Linked DNA regions of Caenorhabditis elegans. The protein of the gene in region 4 interacts with the protein of the main gene of each other region in a pairwise test. Each region holds a gene or a part of one and is shown on either strand. Other genes may lie near its edges. The genes, in order: rme-4, cnt-1, ehbp-1 and rab-35.

Region 1 (7,065 bases), on a different chromosome or scaffold from region 4:
AAATAATATAGAAATCATTGAGTGAGAGAAGCTAGACGGTCGCAAAAGGCAGCAGACGGCAGGGGCCCCAGGAAGGGGAAGAGCGGAGGAGACGAGGACGGCCATCTGTTAATATGCAGGAGAAATAGTGTTATGATGCAGGGTAGTCGTAGATACGTTTGGTTCACTTTTCCAATATATTGTAAATACTGTGAAAATTGTCAAAGCATAATATTTTTTCCATTTAAAATTATGGGATATTTTCCAAAGTCTCAAAAGTTTTATAGCGCCAGTTGGGATAACTTTTTTGAAATCTAAAAAAAACGATTTTATCCTTTCAACTGAATTATTTTTGTCACAAAAGATCTATTTCAAATATTTACCGTATTGACGCTACTCCATTCAAAAATTAAAACAAAAAAAATTAAATGGAAGCTGTCCAGTATATTGTAGTTTTTAAGTACTTTCGATAGATGCTAAAATAAGTGAGTAAATTGAAATAAATTGAAATAATAACATAAACTGAATGAAAAGTCACCCAACATTATTGTTTATTCCAAACCAGAAAAATAAATAAATATATACTTTTGACAAGAAAAAGTTAGAATGCCGGCATTCGATGACAATTTGATTTGACAAGTTCCTTTGGATTTTTGAAAAATATATACTTAAACAAAATGAATAAAATGACTGAATTATCGTTGTGACTTCAGTCTCGCAGGAGTACAAGGAACAAACGATTAAAAAATATGAGAATATGGAAAAACAAAATAATTTGACTAGTGGGAAGGGGGAAAGAAATGGGTTAAATTTATGAAAGTAACCATACGACTCTAGCCATAGAAACTCAAATTTCATACACATAAATAATTTGTTTTTCATTTTGTTATCACATGATTGTATTCTACTCGAAAGTTTCCCATTTGCTCCGAACCGGAGGAGGGGGGACTCGTATTGCTGAACTAGTGGCAAAAGCAGTTGCTGGTTGCCCTGACGATGTGCTCGATGGGCCAACTGATGCAGGTCGTCGGGGAGGTAGCGGCGGAGGAGCATACCAATCGGGTGCAGATGGGTTCATCGCTGATGGTACGCTTCCTACTTGGCTGACTTGTGCCCACTGATGGCTTTGTTGAAAATGGAGTAGGTGAGGTGCTGATGATCCACTTGGAGAGATTGACTGGACCGATGAGCCAGGAATCATGCGAGGATGTAGAGGTGGTGGGGGTCGAGAGGGCAATGGAGGCGCCGAGCCTTCTGGTGACGTCGCAAATGGGTCGGCAAATACGTTTCCTATTGCTCCAGATGGCGACCTGAACATTTGTAAAATAATTAACTGATTTGCGAATAACATAGTAACAGATTTGGTTTTCAAATTACCAGGTTTTGGCAATACATACATGTTTTATATCTTGATCAAGATTACTATACAAAATGTACCAGCATGTACAAGCACCAGCATTTCAAGCACCAGCTTGAAATGAAATTTTTTTTAATTCTTTTTAGTTATGAAACTATTTTTGAAACGGTGTTAGAAAACCAAATCATCAGAAGTTATCAAATGCATTAGACTTCTCATTGGACACACTGCAATTTTTTTGATCCTCGTTATATTTGAACAAAGTATGATTTTTGTTTATAAGGCGACATTACTTTTTATTCTACATATAAGCAATTATGAGATTTCCGAGCGTTTCCAAAATACTTCTACCTAGACAGAAACAGCCAGAAGCTTATAGATTAAAAGTGGATTAAACTCAGGCAGGCGCACAACGAACAGATAATTGTTGGTTGCCAGAAAAATAGAGCGAAAAAGTTCTACAAAGAGCCACAGCGTTATACTTTTTCTGGGTTGATTATTTGATCAAATACTCACTTGCGGTTGTTAGTTGCAAGTTCGGAGGGACGAAGAAAGTACTGTTCATCCACTGATGTAAGCCCAGACGCAGAACTTGTAGAAGGTTCATCCAAATCAATGAGGTTGGCTACTGGAACATTGTCCATCCTTGTTTCCACCGGGAAGCCCTCGTTTTCGTCACTTTTCTGGAACTATTCAAAAATATTAATACATTCTGTTATTTTCTAACAAACCGTTGCATCCCATTGTAGGTTATCAAAAGACATTGGCGACTGCTCAAATCCATTTTGATTGTGTGCTTTTTTTCTTGCCGCTGCTTTTCGTATTTCCCGAGGCGTTAGTTTCTGGAGACGATTTGCAATCTAGAAATTTGAATGTTTCAAATAACTTAAAATGGGTTGAAAAATACTTGTATTCCAGAAGTTTTCAATGCTCCGATGACGTCATTGGCATTCTCCTTGACCTGGAAAATCTTTTCAATTGCATTAAAAATTAGATGCCGAACAAGTTAGAAAATTTTTCAAAAGTCATGCACTTGGTTAAACTGAAAATCAAGTTGCTGAGATACTGTTTGACAACACGAATCTTACTGATTGCACCGTAGTATGCACCATTGGCTCATGATGATTTAGCTGAATGTTGGAATATGTCCGCACACTCGACGAGTTAACGTCATTGCGTTATACAAGCTATGATAACATTTGCTTCATCACTTACCGGCCGGTTTTTCAGATCCATCTGTTCGATTTCAATTTCGAACTGGTCTCCTGGCACGTGTCCGTCTTTGTACAATTCTAATCGGTCGTGGATGAACTAAAATATTTAATTATTGCGACTTATCAATATGCTTGTGCGGAAACTCACTCTTTCTAGGTACTGCACACCATCCGCACCTAATAGTGATGATACGTATGCTTGGTAGGATGGTTTTTGTTGCACCACAAACCGCTCTTTGGAAAAAACCAGAGTTTCAGGCGTATCACCAGTAAATCCACTTGTGTAGTCACCAAACAGCATAACCATAGCTCGTAAGAAGTGCTTTGCAAAAGTGTCATCCATTGCTGACTGCGACCGAAGTTGTGCTTTCAAAAAGTTTACAACTTCTTGAGGCATTGCTGCTACATCATCGAATGGGCTTGTTAACGTCTTCTCGTCAATATCAACAATCACCACTTCGCCGATGTCTCTTATATTCAGCCTCTTAAATAAAATACAATATTGGGACATCTATTCGAATTCACAAACCGCATTTTCCAAAACAGTTTTTGGAACGCCTATCAAGTATGGCATTGGTGCCATTACCATGTCGACGAGAGACTCGGGAAGAATTGTGATAAAAACTGATTGCCTGAAATATACATTGAAGTACATTTTAGAAAATTTAATAGCTTTTCAATAAGCGTCCTCATCATTGAGTTCAGAATTTTTGTTCCTAAAACTATGATTAAATACAGTCGCAAGACCAAATGTTTCGTGATGTTAATGTTGAATTCAAATTTTTCACCAAGTACTTTCAAGATTGTTTAAGAGAAACTTGAATTCTATGTATATGCATCACTAAATAATATAACAAGTTATCTTATACTGTATACCCTTTTACATTGCTTTTGATTTTTATTTCTTAACCACGATTTCTTATTACGTGGTATTACGTACTTTGTTTTAGTTTCTTAGTTATCTCAGAACTGCTATCACAGAACTGCGATTGCAATGCCTCTTGCTACCAATATTTATGTAAACATTTTTGTTAGAAATTTTATATTACTCACCAACACATTGGGTAGAGAAGCATCGAGACCGCATGGAGACATGAACTCAACGATCCAACTTTCCGCCCAGTAAACAGAATACGACGTTCTTTCAGTAGACTTGCAAAGATTGCTAACATCTGCCGAGGGTCGATGGCGTTGTAGAACTCGAGGAAAAACTTATCCGAGCCAAGAGTTGGTAATCGCGTGTGATCGGGAATTTTTTCAGCAAACACTACTCGATAGTTGTGCTGAGAAAATATTGCACATTTAGATATAAACTAAGGTTCTTACTCCATCTGTTTGATTACTATCAGCAAATCGTAAATATTCGTCAATATTTGGAATATCTGTGTGATAGAATTTGGTGAGCACTGATTCAACATCTTCCCTTTGCGCTGAACCTATCACCAAAGAAATATCGTTAAGAGCTTTGAAGAAGACATTTGGCCAGAAGAATCCACTGTAAAATATTCATATTTTTAAAGAGACATTTTTCTGACTACTTCTCTACTCTTTTCTACCGCCTTTTTTTAAAGCATATTTTAGTTCCAAGCAAACGGTTTTGTATTTTTTTTTAAGTTCTTGTGATAATAATGTTCACCATCACAAATCGTTTTCTTTTTTAAAATATTGCAATCATATTCGTCATCCTATCCTACGCGTTTAACATTCTTTTCATTTTTTCGCATCACACAACAACAACAACAGTTAAAAGTCACAAGAAAAAACGAACTCTGTTTTGTTCTTTTTTTCGTTAACGTTTTTGCAAGAGTTTATTTAAAAGGAATAGAAAAGAAAACGAAATATGATACTTCTCCTCTGCTCTTCAGGACTCATTTTCCCATGACAAAACCAAACGACGGCTATTTGTCAAAAGTAATGATGGAAAATCACTCTCACCTCAAGAAGCAGATGCACGTGTCGGTTCTTGGTGTATAACGGCAAAATCCAAACGAGAATTTGGAGTTCGAATCGGTTAGAACAAAACTGAATAATTGCACTGCGTCGACTTCTACTCTGAAATATTATAAAAACATTTTAATTCCATACCAATTTAGTTTTTTTTTAACAATTACGTACTCTCGTAGTTGACATGGAAATGCAAACTGTTGAACACTTTTCACAATAGCTGGATCGTGGAAATCGTCGGGATACTGGAGTCTTAAAATAGCAAGCTTTTCGCCAGGTTTCGGGGCATCAAGTTCGCAGAAGACGTCGTACAGGGTGGCCACGTCAGCTCTGAAAATATATTCTAAAAATGGATTGAACATTTCACAACAATCTCACCTGTATCTTCCATAGGTCATATGTGAAAAATTAAAGCCAATTGGGAGATGGAACCAACGGCAGAGAAGAGATCTAGAGATCGAAGACAATTGTTAAATTGAATTGAAGGTTAGCTTCAGCCACCCAACTGGGAACAAACGGACTGAAAACTGCTGGGCGGCGACAGCAGGAAACACTTGCAATATTACAATAAAAAGAACGGAAAACGAAAACTGCGTTAAAAGAAGACTGCTGGCGCGTTTCTCTTTGTGAATTCAGCTGACACGCGACTGAACGACAAAAAGAGGAGGGCGAGGAGAGACTACAGCAATAGAAGAGAAGGAAAAGAAACATGGAAAAAATGAAGAGCGAACAAGGCGTGAGAATGAATGGGATAAAATTAGTGACATAAATTTAGAAATAGAGGATGGAGTAAAGAAGAAAAATGGGTGCTGCCACCAAAAGCATCACATAAGAATCAAGAAATGTTACTATTCAGACTACTGGGTAACAATACCAAGAAAAAAAGAAACATGTGTCTTTTTTTTTAGTATCGCGCAGTCCTGTGACGGATGAGGAAAATAGAGCTGTCAAATGGAATGAGAAATGGGCTGTTGAAAAGGAGAAAACAGAATACTGAATTTCGTTGTGTTTTTCAGAATTTGATAACATACAGAGTTTAACTGTAGGCTACTTTGTGTATTTTAAATTACATATTTTTAGGGGTTTCAAGTTAAAAAGCGGATTTGTAGATTTTTGTTTTTTTGTTTTTTTGTTCGTTTTGTTCAAATTTTTGATCAAATTTTCGTTAGTTTTGAATATTATATCAAACTGCTAAACTTGGAAACATTGAAGTTCAAAAAAAATGGGAACATAAAATTTATTGGTTAAAGAAACAAATACTTTTGACTCAATAAAAGTATTTTCTTAAATAAATTCCGCTACCTATCTATTTTAAAACAATAAGGCTTTCAAACATGTTTTGCTTGCTTTTCTCATTGTTGATATTTTCTATGTTAACGTTACATAAATTTGACGGTCCTAATGAGCAATCTTTTTTTCATAAATGCCAGAAAACTTAACTTCCAAAAGCCGAACTCTATCTGCAAAAACTGAACAGTTTGTTGTCATCTAATGTTTTTTTTCTGGAAGAAAAAGAGTCTAGTCACTGATAGGAATGAAAAGACGCAGAGAATGTGCATGCACAGTTTGTAGAGGGATAAGACTGCAATCTATTTCTGACATTGCAAGCGAGAGAACGTTGTGCTCATATAATAAGAGAGAAATAGCCCATCTAAGCGATTTGTACGAGAAAAAAGTGAAGAAGTTTAAGAAACATGGACATATGATTTTGAATGTCTATGCAAAAAACGACTTATCAAGTCAAATTTATTGTAAAATTTACTTTTCAAATTAAAAGAAAAATAACCTAGAAAACTACAAAAATGCGAATTAAAAAAGTTCACTTCAAATCGGGACGAGTTTATGTAGTGCGTATTTCCCGCCGTCAGGTGGGGACACTGTGCAATGAAAAGAGGAGGAAAGATAGACGAAATGAATAAACACAGTGACGAATCGATAAATGCTACGAGAGTCTGAATGGTCTTGTTACGACAATAGAACGCCTTGCTCACCCTTTCCTTCTTCAAATGACATCTATAGTACCTGCTGAGAAGACTTACCACCGGCTTGTGTTCCACGTTCTGTTTGTTACTCACAATTGCTAAGCAACATGATGCTTTGTCTTGGAAATGGGACCGTGAGAGCTGTCCCTGGAAACCAGAAATTCAGGAGTAGTAGTGGAAAGTTGAATAGTTTTTTTTAGTGTGGGGTACGAAATACAAAATACAATTTCAAGTTTCCAAAAATTCAAAAATAAGAGAATACTGGTTAAAATGTATAAGTCCCAAACTACAATTTCACTACAAACCGAATAATTAGATTTTCGTGCAATGAATAAACACAAAAATTGTGGTGATATTTCCTTGTTAAAAACAAAATTAATTTGAAAATGTTTCTTCATATGAGTAAGACAAAAATTGGTGTAAAGATAACAGTAAAAACTCACCAAGGATAATTCTCTCCAATTAATGTGCAATGAAAAATAAAACTTTTTGATTGTTAAAAAAGAAATAAAAATGTTTATTCGGTCAAATAAATTAAAGTAAAATAGAAGGTGAATCAATTAATGAAGTTCAAAAGGAGAAAGCATTT
Region 2 (4,816 bases), on a different chromosome or scaffold from region 4:
TTTTTTTTTAATGTTTTTTACCAAATTTAGAATGCTAAACGGCTAAAAGTTGGAAGTTTTTGAATATTTTAATAAGAAAAATTCAAAGGAAAATGGCTAATATTGAGATGTTTTTTTTTAATTTTTGAGTAAAAAACGGGAAAAAAATTATTTTTGATTTTTTTTTACCAAAACTATAACTACAGTGGAAAAAAGTTTTTTTGAAATTTTTAGTGAAAAATTATAATGCGAAACTGCTAAAAATTGAGAAATTTTGTAATTTTTGAGTCAAAAAACTTTTAAAAAAATTTATTTCGGGCTTTTTCGCAAAATTTAAAATTTCAAAACTCTCAAGTTTTTGAGTTTAAAAATTCAAAAACAAATTTTTTAACAAAGTTCTAATGCATTACAGTTTAAAATAAAATATTTTGAATTTTTAGTTAAAATTTTTTTAAAAATTTTATTTTAATGTTTTTTTTTGGCAAAAGTAAAATGTTAAACGGCTACAAAAAAATTTATAAATTCTTAAATTTTTGAGCAAAAAATCAAGAAATTGATCTTTCTAAAACTCTTACAGCTAAAAATAAAATATTTTGAATTTTTTTCAAATTTTTGGAAAAAAAAAGTTTCCGTTATTTTATGTGATAACTCTCACATTAGCCGAGGGAATTTCTAATTTTTTTAACCAACAATTTTCAAAATTCAAAACGAACCGCATCGAGAATCATATGGTCCTTGTGTGCATGTGCAATATTAATATTTGCCACGTAGTCGAGTGTGGTGTGTGCGAAGCAAGTGCCGACCTGGAAAAGAGCGGGTTTCTTGGTTTGAAAAAAAAAATGTTTTTATTTGTTTAAGGGTTTTTGAGTGGTTTTTCTTGCAATTGAGACGCTTTGTGAGAAACTATTTAAGGTGAAGCAAAAAAAAAAACGACAAAATTGAATGTTTTATATAACCAGAAATTTTGATTTTGTTAAGAACATTTTTAAATTTTTCGATTTATTGTTTAAAAAATAGACTTTTTTTTTCAGAAAATTCTTTTTTTTTCAGTAACATTATTAAATTTTTATCCAAAAATTAATCAATTATTTATTTTAACAATTTCTCGAAAAATAAAATAATCTTGAAAAAAATAAAAAAGAAGATAATATATTTGGAATTTTTTTTACTGTAAAATCGGCTTTTTTTGATAAATCAATATTTCTTTTTTCAAAAAATTGATTGTTCGCTTTAACGATTTTTATATTTCTCGAAAAATATAAATCTTTAAAAAATTACAAAAGAAATGTTTTTAAATTTCTTTTCAGTAAAAATGGGCATTTTTCAAGAAAGTCGATTTTGAATTAGGTTTTTTTCTCTGTTTTTTTTAGTTTTTCGAAAAATTAAATTTAAAAAAAAAATTTCAGTAAAGTTAACATTTTTTTGATGAATCAATAATTTTTGTTGCAAAAATTAATTTACGATTTTTATATTTCTCGAAGAAAAAATTTTAAAAATTTACAAAAAAAAATCACTAAGTAATTTTTTTGGCGAAAAAAAGATATCTGTTTTTTAATTTGTAAAAAAAAATTTCAGTACAATACCTATTTTTAGAAAGAAATTTTTTTCAAAAATTTGGATGAATTTTTTTTTGGTTTTTTATCGAGAATTTCGAATATTTTTCGTTGAAAATTCAAAAAACTCACCGCAGTAAGTGCATTTCGCCCTTCTGTCGCATCTGCAGGCTTTTGCCTTGAAATACTCGCATTTTTGACTAATGCATCATCCATTGATTGGGACATATTCTCAAAATGTGCACGGGATTCTGCCACTTTTGTGAGCTCACTTAAATTAGATTTTAGAGGAAACATTTTTGAATTTTTTTTATTTCGAAAAATCTAATTTTTAATTGAATTTTCAATTTTCTGTTGTGAATTATGCGATTTTTGGTTAAAAACACTTGAATTTTGGCTGGAAATTTATTATTTTTCGAAAAAAATTGCCTTATATTGTTTTATACGTAAAATTGATTTTTTTTTTAATTTGGCGGGAAATTCAACTTTTCAAAAAAGATTTTTTTTTTGAAAAATTACCAAAAAACCCGAGAAAAAATCGAGTTTTGCCTATTTTTTTGCAAATTTTTTTACAGGAATTTTAATTTATTTAATTAATTAATTAATTAATTTTTTCCAATATAGAAATTTTTTTGAAGTTTTCTGGCTCAAAAATTTTTTTAAAATTTTTAGCTCAATCCAAATACCTTTAGTTCAAAAAAAATTAAAATTTTCGATTGTTCAAATTTGTCAATTTTCTGTACCTCTAGAATGAATAATCTAGTAAATCAGCGGGAAATTTGAATTTTTCACCTCTAAATTTAAAGTAAAACGAAATTTTGATTTAAATTCGCTTAAACTCGTTATTTTGTAATTTTCGGCCTTTTTAACTCAGAATTTATCGATTTTTATGATTTTTCGCCAAAAAAAACTCCGGAAATCTCACATTTTAATGAAATTCGACAGTTTCGTGAAAGTGACCACATTTGAATGGTCGAAATACGTGCGAAATAGGTTAACAGTGTGTGCATAGGCTTCTGATAATCCTTGGAATGTTGTAGACGCCAATGGATTGCCGGAGAAGCTTTCATCGCATAATTGATTCACCGAAACCGTTAATTTGCTGGAAAAAACGGGGATTTTTTGAGAAAATTTGAATTTTTGGTTTTGAAACGATTATTTTTCGCTATGTGCCTTTAAAATACAGTAATCTGAAAGCTTAATCGTTTCGAGACCCCAAAAATGAATTTTTTTCACGTACTAAAACGTGTTCGTATAATTTTTGCTGAAATCAATCATTGCAGTGATGTGTCGGAGCATTTCGTTGAGCCGATTCTCTAATCGATTAAAATACATTGCATGTTGAGCGACTGTTGCGCGGAATTTTGGAGAATCCTGCAAAAATTTTAGGTTTTTGGTGTATTTTGAGGGAATTTCTACCTGAATTGCCTCGGAGCAGTCGATTTTTGGCGGAACAGACGGCATCGCCATTCCATTGTTTGATACTGTCATAAAATCTGGAAATTTATCGATTTTATACGAAGAAATTGAGTTTTTTCGGCTGAAAATTGAGAAAAAATAATCAAAAATAATTAATTGATAATATTGCGTCGTCAATTTCAATGCCAAGTATGCAAACACCACAGGTGCACAGAACAAGATCTACCGTACTCTTCAATTAATTAATTGAAGAGTACGGTAGATCTGGTACTGTGCAGCTGTGGTGTTTGCGTACTTGGCATTGAAATTGACAGCACATGTTTATCAATTAATTAATTTGGTTTTTAAAAACGCAATTTTAATAGAAAAAATGTCGAAAAAATGGTAAAAAAACATTTTTCTCTTGAAAATTTTCATTTTTAATAGCTAAAAATAGAAAAATAAACTGAAAACAGTCTTGATTTTAAAAAAATTGCTTAAATTTTTCACTTGAAAAAAATTCAAAAAAGTCTGAAAAGTCCGATTTTTAGAAGAAAAACTAATTTTATCACCATTTTTCTGTACAAAAATTATCGAAACTTATGGAAAATAACAAAATTTTCCCAATGTTAAAATAAAAGTTTTAAGTTTAAATTTTAAAATTAATTTTATTTCCAAAATTTCGCAAAAAAAATCCTATAAAAACGACCAACAATTTTTGGGTAAAAAAACTTTTTTTTTGATAAGTGGCTGTAAATATGCCACGTGGCTTTTGAAATTAAAAAAAAAAACATTTTCAAATGTTTTTTTCAACAACTTAAACTTCCGTATGCGCCTTTAAAGAAAACCAAAAGTCCATATCACTCGCACAATAAAGGAAAAAGAGAAAAATTCCAAGACACGTAACAAAAGCCTCAGAACAGAAAAAAAAAACAGAAAAACAGCCGGTTCTTCTTCTCTCTTGCCGCTACGGCTGCCGCTGATGATGATGGTGATGAACAGGAAAACGAGGGAGAGAAATAGAGAAGAGACGCAGGCAGTTAGACGGCGGGAGAAGAACATCGCGACAACTTTTCGGACGGAGGTCATTGTGTTTGTGGGGGGAAGAAGAAAAGGACGAAATTTTTGGAGAAAAAGGACAGTCGTATATAAACATTCACTGCTTGTTTCTCTAGGAACTCTCTTGATTTTCAATACTCTTTTTTTGTGGAGAGAGCTTGAGAATGAAATTGGGTGAGAGGAGGAGAAGGGGAGGCACCGAGAGCGCAACTAATTTAATATTCTCTTACTTTGCTTTTCTAGGCAGACGAGAAAGAGTTACGGGGAAATTGGAATTTTGCAATGCAACAACATTACACATATGTACACGTGGTACCAGAGTCTTATTTCGGTTTGATCTACGCAGATCTACAAAAAATGCGGGAGTTGAAACGCAGACTTCTCAACTGACTTCGCAAGGTTAAGAGCGTGCTGACGTCACATTTTTTGCGGGAAAAGTTCCCGCAATTTTGTAGATCAAACCGTGTTGGGACAGCCTGGCACCACGTGATTATCCAACAAAAAATACTTTTTTCATCAAAATTTAGTGATAAAATAAAAAAATTTTTTTATCTGAAAATATGTTTTATTTGACTTGGAAACATTGCAAAAAAGCTCAAAAATTAATCGGCAAATCAGCAAACCGGCACATTACCGGAATTGAATTTTCCGGCGAATCGGCAAATCGGCAAATTGCCGGAATTGAAATTTCTGGATAATCGACAAATTTCCGGAATTGAAATTTCTGGATAATCGACAAGCTTGTCGGAATTGAAAGTTTTCGACAAATTGGCAAATTGCCAGAATTGAAACTTCCTGCAAATCGGCAAAATGACAAACAGCCGGAA
Region 3 (7,732 bases), on a different chromosome or scaffold from region 4:
AAAGAATAATTATTGATGTTCGAGAATTGAACAATTTACCTGCACACTAGACAGCAAATACTTGTTGAGAAACACTAATCCTATTGAGAAGACCCTGAAATTGGAAAATTTAGTTGAATAAAGAAACCTGAATAGCGTACCAATATGCTGAAACAGCTGTGATGACCTGCTTGTAACTCTCCCATTTGGTTGGATTCTCACGATTTCTCATAGCTTCGAAGAGGGCCTAAATTAGAATGAAACGTTTATGAATGGTAGTTAAGGCGGGAGGCAGGACAAACATAGAACGTGGAAAACGTAGAAATGGAAGAGGACGAGAAACAGGCAACACCCGACAACTAGGCCATTGTTGTCGAGTTAATTGCGGGCATTGCTGCCGCAGTTTCTGCTCGATTATTCAGCTTTCTAAGGTTTTAAAGAGTTTGAATTCGTATAAAAATTATTTATAATTAATTGAGACATTTGTAAAAGTTTAACAAAGGTGAAAAAGTAGTTTGTTCACAATAAAATTAACAATATCGTGAGTAATTCTTTACCTGCTTAAGAAATAATCAATATCGAAATCGGCTTTTAACTTTTTTAAAAATATAATTTAATTTTTTAATTTGTGAGAATACAAACGCATTTATGGAGGGAATTACCAAGGAAATAAAAGAAATAAAAGAAAAACCCCTCTGCAAAAATTATTTCGGAAAAAAAATGTTTTCAAACAGAATAACAATGTGCAAACACGGCCACGTCGAATTACACAATATTCTATTTACAGTAACGTGTCTGCGTTTTTGCGTGACTGTGAATGCAGACGCAAAAAGACGTAAACGTTTTTCACGGCCCGGCAAGTGGTACATCCATGCAAATGCGCTCTACTGATAATTGGAGTGTAGACCTCTCCAATTTTTTATATGCATCATAAAAAAATACCACTTCTCGGGCCGTGTTTTTTAGACCAATTTTTGAAAACGGTTTTTCAATATATTGTTGCAATAAATATCTACTTTGTTGTTTTCTTCATGCAGTTTCATCGTATTAAATTAATTTTTGTCAAACAATCACTGTGGTTATGCATATAGTTCTCGATCAAACCATTTATGTTCCTCACGTTTATTAAATATCGCATTTTCGATAGCTCCTCATGTTTTCTGAAAACGTTACTTAATGGTGTTTTCAGAATAAAAATTAACTTATTTATTCTGACTGCCATTTTTTGTTTATGGGAGAACACTTGAACTTCGACGGCGCGCTGAGCAGAGTTAGTGTAACGGGCGCTGGCAGCTGACTGATACATAACGACGAACACTCGAAAAGTAGCACTTGTAACTAAATGCTAAATCGAAAACCTACCGAGAGCGTGAGAGATGGCAAGAAGTGGCCATAAATCTTTGTATCGGCGGTCTCAAGTGACCAATCCAACTCGATCTAGTAACATTACACGATGCTCTACTGTCAGATTGTTTTTGTTATTCTCTCCTCTCCCTTTCAGTTTTACTAAATTTCTATTGTTCATTTTCTTTAAAATAATACAAATTCTTGTGAATCACTGGATAAAATAACATATTTCAGACCTTCTCTTTGGAGCTCCAAATGCTCTTTTCTTTTTACCTCTGTCACTCTCTTTTCCTTCTAGTCTATCGCCTCTCGCTCATTTTATCAAATCTTCTCGCCGCCGTTGTCGAATGAGGAGGAGGAAGACGGCTGCGCCCATTCCTCTCGGTTTCCGCCGCCTTTCCTTTCTTCTCATCTCCTCAAATATCCATTTCCGTACGACAAATCGAAAAGAAATTCTTCGCATTACGCACCTGATTACCATTGTTTTAACATATAAATTGCAGATGGCGGGTATTCTTCGTCGACTTCGGAGATCCAATAAGAAAGCTGCCAAATTTAGATTTACAGTTACTCTTCAGGTTCGTTCTTGATACTTTTATCTCAATTGTTTATTATTTTAGGAATTACATCTCTACACCGACGAACAATGGAAACCAGAAAACCTTGCAGTTTCTTTCGTTCATAGGTGAATACATTTTCTTATCAAAGAATAATAAATGTCAATCAGAAAATAGACACAATGCATCATGATCATTATGGAAATTTGAAAAAAAAAGAAAAATATTCACAAGAAAATAATACGAATCGAAAATAAATAAAAAATTGTTCATGAAACCTTTATCATACAATTTTTACAGACGACGAAAAGTATCATCAAAGGAACGAAAATGGGAAGAATGTTCGGACGCTAACAAATGTTTGATTATGTGGCCTGAGCAATTTTCAGAGAATATAGATATTCTTACAACATTATATCGTATTGCAAGTGATGAATATGAAGATAAAGAATGGACGATTGTTGTTGAAGAAGTAACTGCTAAAGGAAAAAGAAAAGCAATTGCAGCAGTGCCACTCAATGTTCGCTTATTTATTCTGGATCTACCCGATCATAAAAGTGAACTGAAGCTCAAGCTCCGTCCATTGACGCCTCATTTGAAATTGTGTTCCCTGATTATTCTTCTTGGAAGTTCTCTTATTTCGGAAGTAAATGCAGATGATGTTAGTATTACTTCGTCAGCTGCAGCCTCTTTTGTTGAAAAAGTTCCAGTAACAGATGAAGTTGATGCGAGTGCAAATGATTCCAGAGCAGCAGGTATTTTGATTGAAAAAATACAGTTTATTTCACATAATTTGTTTTTTTAAGCTGCAAGACAACAAATCGACACGACAGCTACAAAAATGATGGAATGGATCAAAGAGGAAAAGGAAATCGCTCCGCCTATTGTTCCAGCACACCGAAAACCTTCCGGAGAGAATGAAAACCCTGCAAAAGGTAATTAGAAATCGTTTTTTAAACCTAATCGTTAGAATTTTTGGCTAGAATATTTTCATGGAAAAAAGTCATATAGCCTAAATTCGTGTGTGGTCATCAAAAAATTTGTAGATTTTTTTCATTTTTTTTTCAAGGAACATCGAAAATCGAAAAAAAAATTCGAAAATTATCCAGAAAATGATATATCAAAATTTGTTTATGTTGATGAAGAAAAAGGATTAAAAAAACCAAAATAAATACTCGAAATTTTTTTTTTCAATTTTTCGGAAAACGAAAAATCGAAAAACCGACACCCGTGGCTCTTATAGAATGTATTTCAGTTCGTCCCCAATGGAGAGTATCAGCTGAAGAAGAAAAAACGTCACAACCAGCAGCTCCAGCGCCAATTGCAACCAACAGACATAGTCGGTCAAGCCGTGCTTCGACAGAAGAAAAAGCGTCTACAACAATAGAATTCCGTGTGGATTCCAATTCTCGGCATGTTCCAGTTACAGCAATCGCTACACCATATTATCTTCAAAGTGGAACAATGAGTAGAGGGTATTGTTTGGTTACTTTTCTCACAATCATAATTTTTTTTCAATTTCAGAAGATCAAATTCTCCGAGAGCTCCATCTAGAGATGCTGTCCCTCAACCGATCGATGGAGAGACTTTACTTTCATGGTGTCAGAGAGTTACTAACGGATATTCGCATGTAAAAGTTAATGATTTTATGAAATCTTGGAACAACGGATTGGCCTTGTGTGCAGTTCTTCATTCTTATCGCCCGGATCTCATTGGAGATTACGAAACACTGGATATCTCTAATAATATGTCTGGACGCATTTCGAATATTCAAAGAGCCCTCGATTCACTTACTTTGATAGGAATAACAGAAGTACCAACAGTTGATATGTTTCTGACTCCTGATCGGAAACAAATAGAATTTCTTCTTCAACATCTTCGCCGAATCTTTGAAGGATTTGACGAGGGATCTACACCAGCCAGTGCTTCTGATCACAGAATATCCAGAACATTTGGAATTAATGAATCCGAAGAAAAAGTTGTTGCCATGATTACAGAAATTCGAAATCAAAAAGATCTCGAAGAAGCTGTGGATTATAGACACATTCCTGATGAAGTTCCTGTTACACCACAGTTGGCTAGTCGCAATCCGGCTCTCAATCAACCAACTGACGCTGATGACGATGATGCTGAAACTTCAAATATGCGCTTTGAGAGAAGTAATGTAAGCATAACCATGGTGACTCCAGGAGTTGGAGCAATTCGTGCATCGGTGAGTTTTTATTGAAAAAAAAAATTTTAAAATTTTAAATATTTAGTTTTTGTTTTTTTGTTGAATTTCGAATTGAATAATGCTAATTATTTAAAATAGTTATTGAAATCTTTTTTCACTTCAATTCTACCATTTTTAAGATACTTTGTGTGTATAATATAACTGAAATTATAGGAAAAAAACAGGTTCTTTCAATCGTCAGATTTCTTGGTATATTTTCTTATTTTATTTTTTTAATGCAATTTATAAGGTTATACATAACTGAACATTTCCTACTACCATATAACAGCTTGATAAAAATTGCGACACAACTTAAAAAACTTATTAAATACTCGCCCTTATAAAACTCAATTACATTTGTTCCCAGCGAAATAGTCTAATCAATTCTTTTTCCTAATAGATATCCAATTTTACGAGATTCTTATTTTTGAAAATCTTTACAACTTTCAGAATCGTGCATCACCTTCAAAGCGAGATGAACTACGCCAAAGAGCACGTGATTTAATTGAAAAATCAACAACTCCTGCAGCAACACCAAATTCACGGAAAGCGAGTGATGAAGAGAGAAGACGCGAAGAGGTCAGACGGATGCTGAACGAAAAGCAGCATCCAACGGGTGAGAAGTTTTTAAAAACACAAAAGTTGTCGTGATTCTCTATAGTAATCTCCTTTGTTGTGATTGTTTTAATTATTTCTACCGTGTGTTCCCATTTCAGCAATCCCCTCTACTTCATCATCACCATATCCCACTTTCCGTCGTATCGATGGATCAAATACCGATCTTCGTCGTATTGGTTTGTAACATTTTCAGATCATGCTCCGATTTAATTGTTTTAGTGTTGTGACAAAGCATGTAGTGAATTTATTTTCAGAACTCGATGTACACAAGTTCAAGAAACGTGATCCATCTCCGACGCTCGTCCGCAAACAATGTACATTTTATTATTTCCTCATAGTGCAGTGATTTTTAACATGTCAATTGCATTATTAGGAACAATTTCATCTTAATTTTGTTTTAATTACAGACGATCCCAATGATACTCCTCATGTGCCAGCAATTGGTCGTGGCAGAACAAATGGAAATCGGGTCAGTCATTAATATATTTAAATTCTCGGCATTTCGTGCCTACTTTCTCCCACCTTTTCGCCTTCCGGCAAAAAGGTGGGAGAAAGAAGACGCGAAATGCCGAGTTAACAGTTTAATCCCGAATAGAGCATTATTGGCAACACCGATTCAGGAAAAATATGTGTACCTTTAAAGATACAGTTACTTCAAATCCTCGTTGGTGAGGTATTTTCATAGATTTTTCATAGTTTTTCGATAAAACTTTTTTTTTTATAAAAAACTAAAATAAAACAATAAAACACACATAAATTTAAAAAAAAACTATGAAGAATCGATGAAATATCGACAAATACGAGAGCTTGAAACCTTGCGTCAAGACCAGCTACCGTATATTTTGTCGCAAACTATTTTGTCAGTGTAATAAGTTGTCTGATTTTCAATTTTAAACATTTGAGTATTATTTTAAGCTTTAAATATGAATGTTGTCAATTAGCTGTCAATACCACTAGCAATCCTCATTTCTATCTAACCATAATTTTTCTTTCGTCGATATTATCTTTAGTTCTTCTCTGTTCTATATTTTCTTTTTTATCATACACCGCATTGTACAGTATGCCTAACAAGTGTTTTGCTCACATTTCAGAACGATTCATCAACTCCTTCATCAGCTTCTACATTTGATCGTGTCAAGAGATATGGGAGTATGCGTAGTGCAGAATTGAAAGAATCGTTGCAGTTGATGGCGAAACAATACGGATACATGGTTTGTGATGTTGTAAAAAGTGTAATGTAATGATTTTTGCTTCTATTTTAATCAACATAAAATTTAATCATGGGTGCAAATTGAAAGTTACCGTCTAAATGTTATTATTTTTAGGGAAACGATTTCGAATCATCTTCGCAAGACGCTCTGGCGACACCAACCAAAAAGTTCTCTTCCCAATGGGAAAAAGACGTCGATGACGTTGAAGGAACCGCCAATGAGCTTGTTCGTATTGACGAACGTATATCGGATATTACAGCACAAGCCGATGTAAGATTCTGAGAATTAAAGGATTAATTCAGTTTGTTTTGTTTTCAGGTTATTCAAGACAAGATCCGTGAAACAGAAGTTGGAAGTTCAGAAGAAGAAATGTTGACTGCATCATATCTTGAGTTGACAAATGAACGGAACACTCTTGTACATCGACAGGAATACTATAATATCATTGAGACAATTCGTCAGGTTACTTCGGAAATTGACCAATTGGGAAAACAAATCAATGAAGTTCCTGATGATTTCCCTCGTTCTGATGAGAATAAGACGGCAACGGATAAACTGATTGAACAATATAGTGATGCTATGAAAACAAAAAGTAACTTGGTTCAAAAGTTATTTGCAACTGAGGACGAAATGTAAGTGTTTATTGCTTTGTTGAACCACGTGGTGTCAGGCTGTCCCATCACGGTTTGATCTACAAAAAATGCTGGAATTTTTCGCCTAAGAAAGTGCCGTCAGCACGTTCTTAACCATGCGAAATCAGTTGAGAACTCTTCGTCTCAACTTCCGAATTTTTTGTAGATCTACGTAGATCAAACCGAATGGGACATTCTGACACCACGTAATAAACTACTTTCAGTGAAACTAATGAAACAACATTCGAAATTTTCAGCGAAGAAGATTCGGATCGTTTGAAGAACCTTACTTTGGATAGGGCTACTCGCTTTGTTCGTGGAATAGATCAGCCTGTTTCAGCATCGAAGCGACTTATTCAATGGTGGCGCCGTTAATACGCTTCAACGTTATTTATTACTCAATTTAAAACTACGGGTCTTCTTCTCTTTCTGAAAACAAAGTTTCTCCCAGTGTCCCTTTGTTATCTTCTATCATTTTTTCTCCTTTCCATAATTCACTCTTTCCCGTTTTTTTGGCAAATTTTTAGGAGTTAATCAAAACATCAAATTTTTCTCTATCTTTTCATCTCTATGTGTATATTTTTGTATTCAGTTTTCTTTTCTCTCGGTGCACACAAATCCAAATGCTTTCAGCTTTCAATAAATCAATTCAGAGTTTTAAATGATGTTCAGCAAAAATTCATTCGAAAAAAGAGGAAAGTGTGTGGAAGACTGGTGAAAAATACTTTACACGTGGAAATATTTAGCGTAGAGATCAAACAAGTGGGATAGGAAAAAGCAAGCTCGAATTGTGAGGGAATGTACTGAAAGAAAAAACAAATAAATTTGAGAAATTGAGTGATATGGTTAAAAAATGAATCGCATTTTGCAGGAAAAAATACTCGTATGCATTAATTTGAAGAAAAATAGATGAGAAGAATAAACTTAATATTGTACTCTCATATTACGAGAACACTAAATCCTGAGAAGGCGTATTGCGCAACATATTTGACGCGCAAAATATCTGACCGAAAACTACAGTAACTTTTTAAATGACTACTGTAGTGCTGGTGTCGATTTACGGGATCGATTTTCACTTATGTTCGAATTGCGACAGTGATATTCAGTTTTTCGTATTGTTTTGTCATTTTTGTGTTTCTTTTAATATTTAATCGATTAATAAAATGTTTCCGTAAA
Region 4 (7,366 bases):
CCCACCAAAGTTTCCAATTTTCTCTACTTTTTAGTTTTTTTCAAGATTTTAATTGAAAATCCATTCCTCTGGATAAATTTGTAAAATGGGAATTTTTCTAGAAAATTTAGGCAAAGAAATTGGAAAAAATTGAGTTTTTTTTAAACAAAAAGTGGTGATTTTTCGAAAAAATTCTGAAATTGGCCAAAATTAGTGAGAGAAAATTTTAATTTTTTTAAGTGAAAATTTCGGAATTTCTATCAAATTTTGTACGAAAAAAAATTAATTTTCAAACAAAAATATTTAGGAAAAATTAGAATTTTAAAATATTTAAGGTTTTTTTTAGAACTTTAAAAAATATATAATCTTCCAAATTTTTTTAAAGGAAAAATTATGAAGTTATGGGAATTTTCAACAAAAATTAGTATTTAAAAAAAAATTAGTTTTATTTTTTTTTTTCAACTAAATTTTTCTCTAAATTAAATATCACAAAATTAGCTTTCTTTTTTTGGATTTTAAAACAATTTCCTGAAAAGAATTCGTCAAAAAGTTAAATATTTTAGTAATTTAGGAAGGAGGGGAAAACAGATAGAAAGCCAAAAAAAAAAGCAGTCGATCGATTTGGAAATTGGGAATAAAACTGTTGTATATGCACATGCGGGAAGGCAGGGGAGAGGGGAGGGGAAATTCGAGAATTTTGCGATTTTTGATGATAGTACAAAGTGAAACAATATAGAGAATGATGGTGAGAGAAATTAAAAAAAAAAACGAAAAATTTATCCACATTTGCACTTCTTTTTCTGATTGGTGCTTCCTGAATTGTCCTTGAGAGATACACCGCCCGTGCGGCTCTGATCCTTTGAAGCCGACTGGGGATTTGCGAGTTTGGCGGTCAGAACGAGGCTCGTGATGCATGTGAACATCTGAAAAAATGGGGAAAAAATTAATTTTTCTGAAAATTTTACTGAAACTCTATGAAAAAAAAACATTTTTTGAATTATTCCAATCCTTACGCTTTTCGAATTTTTTTTATTGCTTTATTAGACTCGGAATTGTCTGAAAACACCGAATTTCATAATGAAACTTTTTGAAAAATTCTCAAAAAAAAGTTATGACGACGGCTCAAAAAGTGGCCTAAATTTAGTTGAAATTTGAAATTTGACTTGTCAAGCGGCTGGAAACTAACTTTTTTGAAATCACCGTCAAATTTTGAGTATACAATGTAATTATCTTGCGTTTTAAACTTGATTTAGGTATTTTAAAGTCGATGGACGGCGAGATTTTTAATTTTTTTAACCAAATCTCGCCGTCCATCGACTTTAAAAAACCTAAATCAAGTTGAAAACGCAAGATAATTACATTGTATACTCACAATTTGACGGTAATTTCAAAAAAGTTAGTTTCCAGCCGCTTGACAAGTCAAATTTCAAATTTCAACTAAATTTAGGCCACTTTTTGAGCCGTCGTCATAACTTTTTTTTGAGAATTTTTCAAGAAGTTTCATTATGAAATTCGGTGTTTTCAGACAATTTTGAGTCTATTAAAACAATTTAAAAAATTTCACCACCTTTAAAGGCGAGGTACCGAAATTTGAGACTTTGCTTTTTAAGACCCAAAATGGCCCAAAACTACCGAATTTTGTAATGAGACGTTCTGAAAATTTTTCAAAAAAACAGCTATGGCCGCTCAAAGTTTTGGAAAAAAATGGCCTATTTTTAGCTTAAATCTCAAATTTTGGCAACTTTTCGGTGTCGCATCGGTTGGAACTTAATTTTTATTTGATTACCATTTTTTAATGCATGTTTTGGCATTTTATTAGGTGTTGTTTCGTTGATTGTGATGTTTTTTTGGCCAAGGGGGACTCAAAATTGTATCATATTTTTGGCCAAAAAAACATCTCAATCGACGAAACAACACCTAATAAAATGCCAAAACATGCATTAAAAAATGGTAATCAAATAAAAATTACGTCTCAACCGATGCGACACCGATAAGTTGCCAAAATTTAAGATTTTAGCTAAAAATAGGCCATTTTTTCCAAAACTTTGAGCCGCCATACCTTTTTTTTGAAAACTTTTCAGAACGTCTCATTACGAAATTCGGTAGTTTTGGGCCATTTTGGATCTGAAAAAGTAAAGTCTCAAATTTCGGTACCCCACCTTTAAGTTAATTGTTGAGCAGCTTCAGCAAACTTATTTCCTATTACCAAGTTTTCATTACAGAATGATGTCTGAACAATTGAAGAATAAAGTTTCACTATCAGCGGGAATTCAAAAAAAAAATTCTGCCATTTTTATTGGTTTTTCCAAAATTAAAAAAAAAATCATATTTAAACATTTTTTCGGAAAAATATATTTTGTTATATTTTTTTAAACCGAAAAATTCTAAAATTTAATTTTTTTTGTAATTTGCCACTTTCAACTATAAATGTATTTTTATTCCCAAATTCAATATTTTCTTCGTTCTTACCGGTTCGACATTCTTGTCCTCTTTGGCAGAAGTCTCAAAAAACGAGATATTCATCGATTGAGCATAATTACGTGCATCACTCTCCAAAACCACTCGACGCTCGTTTTCTTCGCATTTATTGCCGACTGAAAACGGAATTATTTGTTTATTTTTGAAAAAAAAAATCAATACGGAAAAAAATTAAAGGTTTTTTTGAAAAATATCTCTAAATAATGTTAATTTTAATTAAAAAATTGAAAAAAAAATTAGATTTAAAAAAAATCATCATTTTCGGAACTTTTTAGTGTTAATTTTTTGTAATTTTCTTCAAAAAAAAACCTTGAAAAATGTGGAAAATTGTCAAAATTTCTCCAAATTTCTCAAAAAAAAAAACGCGAAAAACTATGAAAATTGATCACTGCAACTTTTTCCTCACGAGAGACGAGGAAAAGTGGTTTCTAGGCCATGGCCGAGGGGCCGACAAGTTTCAGCGGCCATTTATCTTGCTTTGTTTTCCGCCTGTTTTCTTTTGTTTTTCACAGCTTTTTCCCGTTTTTTCTTATTAAAACTGATAAATAAATATTTTTTGCAGATGCTAAAACAATTTCCAAGTAAAAAAATTATGTATTCAGTGGGCAAGCAGCGGTGAAAGTGGGCATTGTAATATGATGGATTACGGGAATACAAAACCTAAACTTTTTCTGAAACATGATACATATGCTGCTTAAATGCTGAAACTACCTGATTTTCATAACGAGACTGCTGAAAAAGTTTTGAGGTTTTCAAAATTCAACTTTTTGTACGAAAATCTCTACTTTTTCACCAAAAAAGTTGAATTTTGGAAACCTCAAAACTTTTTCAGCGGTCTCGTTATGAAAATCAGGTAATTTCAGCATCTAAGCATCATATTTATCATGTTTCAGAAAAATTTTAGGTTTTGTATTCCCGTAATCCATCATATTGCAGTGACCACTTTCACCGCTGCTTGCCCACTGAATACATAATTTTTTTACTTGGAAATTGTTTTAGCATCTGCAAAAAGTATTTATTCATCAGATAGAAAAAACGAAAAGAAGAAAAAAAGAAGAAAAAGAAAAAACGGGAAAAAGCTGTGAAAAACGAAAGAAAACAGGCGGAAAACAAAGCAAGATAAATGGCCGCTGAAACTTGTCGGCCCCTCGGCCATGGCCTAGAAACCACTTTTCCTCGTCCCTCGTGAGGAAAAAGTTATAGTGATATTGAGTTAAATTACCCTTTTATTTCCATTTTTTTTCAACTTTTCAAAAAAAAGGAGGAAAATCGTAATTTTAAAATTTTTTTTAGCTCAGCTGAAAAGCTGCTTCTGCTCCTTACCAAGAACCTTCTGAACCGAATCACAATTATTCTCAATCTCCTGCAACCACCGTTTCACATTTCCGAAAGATTCTCCATTTGTGACGTCATAGACGACAACGACTCCGTGTGTTCCGCGGTAGTAACTGCAAAAATCGTTAATTTTTTAATATTAACTAAAATTGAAAAAAACTAAAACTAAAAATTTTCGATTTTTAAATAAATTGTATCAATTTTCCACAAAAGTTTTTCGTTTTTTCGAAAAAATAAAAAATTTTCGATTTTCCATTAAAAGTATCTCAAAATTTTGGTAAATTTTCTACTTTTTCAACGAAATTTAACAAAAATTCGATAAAATTTGAGATTTTTATAATTTTCCAATTTATTCATTAAAATATATACAAAACTCGATAAAAATTGAATTTTAAGTTGAAGATATTTCGATTTTCCGGAAAATCGGAAATTTTCCTCCAAATTTGTCTCTGAAATTCATAGAAATTTTAAATTTTGAAAATTCCCACAAAGTTTTTTGATTTTCAAAAAAAAAAAAAAAAAAAACCACAAATTTTGGGCTTTTTTCTGCAAACAAAAATGTGATAAAATATTGCAATTTTTTCAAATTTTTTTTTTGAAAAAAAAAAAAAAGTTTTCCGCCATACGTCGATGTAATTGTACGGAATCTCTCTTGCCCGGCAGTATCCCAAATCTGAAGTTTGACACGTTGTCCATTAATATCCATTGTACGAATTTTAAAGTCGACGCCGATTGTGGTAATGTAGTTTTCTGCAAAAAAAAATTTTTTTTATTGGTAAAATTGCTATTTTCAGTATTATAGGAACACAAAATTCTGAGAATGGGTATTGCACAACATATTTGACGCGCAAAATAAAACTATATCTCGTAGCGAAAACTACAGTAATCCTTTAAATGACTACTGTAGCGCTTGTGTCGATTTACGGGCTCGATTTATTTTCGTTTTTGCTTCTTATTAATTTTGATAAATAAATAATTTACTTCATTTCAAAAAATCGAGATCCCGTAAATCGACACAAGCGGTACAGTAGTCATTTAAAGGATTACTGTAGTTTTCGCTACGAGATATAGTTATATTTTGCGCGTCAAATATGTTGCACAATACGCATTCTCAGAATTTTTGTAGCCGCGCAATACAGGTTTTTGACTACTTTCAGCAAAAAATTGCGTTTTTCAAAGTTTTCTGTTTAATTTCGCGATTTTCATGGGAAAATTGAGTTCAAAACTGATTTTCTAAGCAAAAAATATTATTTTTTCAAATATAAAAATCGGATAAATCAGAATTTCGATGGAAAAATTCATTTTTTTAAATAAAAATCGGACAAAACAAATTTTTGACCCAAAAGTTTTAGAAAAAATTTATTTTTAAAACAAAAATTATTTGTAATAATTGGTTTTTTGCCGTTTTTCTGTCCAATTTCCCGATTTTCTTGGGAAATTTGGGTCAAAACTGAGTTTTCTTTAAATAAAATTTTTTTAATGGAAAATCTGAATTTTTCTCCCTTAGAAAATTTGATGCCTAACCAGAGAAGGTGTTATCTGCAAAACGGAGCAACAAGCTGCTCTTTCCGACACCCGAATCTCCAATAATCAGCAATTTGAACAAATGATCGTAATCCCGAGTTCCCGCCATTGATGTTGGGTTGCAGAAGCCTGGAAATTGGGGGTTTTTTTTTTCAAAATTCTCTAGGAAATTCGTGAATTTTTCGGATTTTCCGGTTTTTTCTAGACAAAAATTACATTTTCTAGTTTATAACTAGAGTTTCTAGTTAAAATGAAATAAAAATTACACTTGAAAATTTTTTAAAAAATATTTTCAATTCCGGCAAAAAACTGGATTTTCCGGCAATTTACCGATTTGCCGGAAATATTCAAATCCGGCAAATTGCAGATTTGCCGGAAATATTAAAATCCGGCAATTTATCGATTTGCCGGAAATATTCAAATCCGGCAAGTTGCAGATTTGCCGAAAATATTCAAACCGGCAAACTGTAGATTTGCCGGAAATACTAAAATCCGGCAATTTATCGATTTGCCGGAAATATTAAAATCCGGCAATTTATCGATTTGCCGGAAATATTCAAACCGGCAAATTACCAGAGGTTTCATTTTCGGAAAATGACCGGTTAAAAAAAAATTTGTCTTCTAATTTTTTACACCAAAATTTAGAAATTTAGCGAAGTTTAAAATTTAGAATTTTAAAAAAAATTTGTTTTTTAATGTAAAATCTAGAAATTTCCCAGAAAATTCAGCAGAAACTTAGCGGCTTTTGGAACCGTAAAATCTTAAAAAAAAAAGCTTTTTTAAAAAAGGAAAAAATTGGGGATTTTATATAATACAGTGCAGTTTTAGGGGCGAAAATAGGCCAAAAAAATGAATTTTCAAGTTAAAAACTTGAAAAAAAATGCAATTTTAGGACCAAAAAGGGCAAAAAAAAAACGGGAAAAAAAAAATTTAATTTACAAAAAAAAATTGAAAAAACCTCGAGAAATGTCATCGGAACTGTGATAAATATCATGTTGAATAGCGAGTTTTCGGTATTTGAAAAGTTTTCGGCACCGAATCATTTTTCCGACTTTTTTTCAGCTGTTTTCAGGCGGAAAAAGTGAGAGAAATGAATGTGTGTTCTAAGTGATGAGAGAGAGATAGAGAGTGAAAACGAGATTCAGAGAAACAAAAAAAAATGGGGGAAAAAATGAAAATGAAACAAAAAAAAATGAAATATGAATCATATAATTGCTAAAATTCAGGGGAGGAGGAGGAGAGGTTTTTTAGGAGAGTTTTTACAAATAAAGCTCGAAATCAATTCTGGCAACTGGATTAAAATGTCCATTTGTTCCAGAACGTCTGGCAACACCTTCTGCCGAAAGAAGTCCTTTTGATTGGCGATCCATCATTTCTGAAGTCGGAATCGGGCCCTGGAATTGGAAAAAATTTTTACTTTTTTTGAGACTTTTTTTCATTAAAAAAAATTTCAGAATTTTCAAAAAAAAATTTTTGAAATTTTTTTGACATATTTTAATTTATTTTTCGAACACATTTTCGGCAAACCGGCGATTTGCCGGATTTTTCAGCGTGAATTTTAATAAGAAAAAACTATTTCGATTAAAACGGGTCTAAACCTAACAAAAATTGAATTTTTTCGATTTCTGGATAAAAATTGGCTATTTTTGACATTTTTCACCAAATTTTCATGGAAATGTTCAAAGTTTTTGCTAAAAATAGGCTATTCTGATTATATCCCAAAAAATTGGTTTAAAAAAATCAATTCTTCATTTAAAAAAAAAAAAACTATTTTGTTAACACGAATTTCGCCAAAATCGTCCGTTTTTTCGCTGAAAAATTAGGATTTTTCGGTATAAAATCGAGAATTTCCGACAATTTTTCAACAATTTTTCAACTCAAAATTACCAAAAATTCAGGCATTTTGACTTTGTCTTGACTGAATTGTGAATTTTCAGATAATTTTTAATGTTTTTCTTCTAAAAATGCAATAAAATTGAAAATTTTCGAGAATTTTCCGAATAAATATGTTTAAGTTCAAAAACCAAGTTTATCCGATTTTTATTCAAAA

What was found.
Region 1: the proteins of rab-35 (region 4) and rme-4 interact in a two-hybrid assay, tested with the Caenorhabditis elegans proteins (2 studies listed by BioGRID).
Region 2: the proteins of rab-35 (region 4) and cnt-1 interact in a two-hybrid assay, tested with the Caenorhabditis elegans proteins (2 studies listed by BioGRID).
Region 3: the proteins of rab-35 (region 4) and ehbp-1 interact in a two-hybrid assay, tested with the Caenorhabditis elegans proteins (one study listed by BioGRID).

Annotation. Positions count from the first base shown.
Region 1 is NC_003284.9:10,372,719-10,379,783, forward strand, and holds rme-4 (UDENN domain-containing protein), read right to left. Parts: upstream 5,052-7,065; 5' UTR 4,893-5,051; coding exon 4,873-4,892; intron 4,825-4,872; coding exon 4,666-4,824; intron 4,603-4,665; coding exon 4,486-4,602; intron 4,046-4,485; coding exon 3,877-4,045; intron 3,834-3,876; coding exon 3,604-3,833; intron 3,183-3,603; coding exon 3,080-3,182; intron 3,035-3,079; coding exon 2,699-3,034; intron 2,648-2,698; coding exon 2,552-2,647; intron 2,298-2,551; coding exon 2,244-2,297; intron 2,197-2,243; coding exon 2,068-2,196; intron 2,026-2,067; coding exon 1,853-2,025; intron 1,290-1,852; coding exon 884-1,289; 3' UTR 514-883; downstream 1-513.
Region 2 is NC_003280.10:12,085,839-12,090,654, forward strand, and holds the start of cnt-1 (Truncated cnt-1), read right to left. Parts: upstream 3,031-4,816; 5' UTR 3,024-3,030; coding exon 2,952-3,023; intron 2,907-2,951; coding exon 2,773-2,906; intron 2,635-2,772; coding exon 2,458-2,634; intron 1,804-2,457; coding exon 1,665-1,803; intron 783-1,664; coding exon 693-782; intron 1-692. UniProt on the Caenorhabditis elegans protein: GTPase-activating protein for the ADP ribosylation factor family. Regulates endosome recycling downstream of rab-10 and upstream of arf-6.
Region 3 is NC_003283.11:9,548,815-9,556,546, forward strand, and holds ehbp-1 (EH domain-binding protein 1), read left to right. Parts: upstream 1-1,829; coding exon 1,830-1,904; intron 1,905-1,946; coding exon 1,947-2,011; intron 2,012-2,183; coding exon 2,184-2,638; intron 2,639-2,689; coding exon 2,690-2,818; intron 2,819-3,138; coding exon 3,139-3,358; intron 3,359-3,407; coding exon 3,408-4,095; intron 4,096-4,545; coding exon 4,546-4,711; intron 4,712-4,811; coding exon 4,812-4,889; intron 4,890-4,967; coding exon 4,968-5,027; intron 5,028-5,120; coding exon 5,121-5,182; intron 5,183-5,804; coding exon 5,805-5,924; intron 5,925-6,038; coding exon 6,039-6,194; intron 6,195-6,242; coding exon 6,243-6,556; intron 6,557-6,813; coding exon 6,814-6,931; 3' UTR 6,932-7,218; downstream 7,219-7,732. Other genes in the region: nstp-10 (GDP-fucose transporter), read right to left, coding at 40-94, 141-226, 996-1,022.
Region 4 is NC_003281.10:11,306,122-11,313,487, forward strand, and holds rab-35 (Ras-related protein Rab-35), read right to left. Parts: upstream 5,446-7,366; 5' UTR 5,426-5,445; coding exon 5,317-5,425; intron 4,543-5,316; coding exon 4,419-4,542; intron 3,906-4,418; coding exon 3,781-3,905; intron 2,574-3,780; coding exon 2,449-2,573; intron 903-2,448; coding exon 756-902; 3' UTR 526-755; downstream 1-525. Other genes in the region: teg-1 (GYF domain-containing protein), read right to left, coding at 6,576-6,710.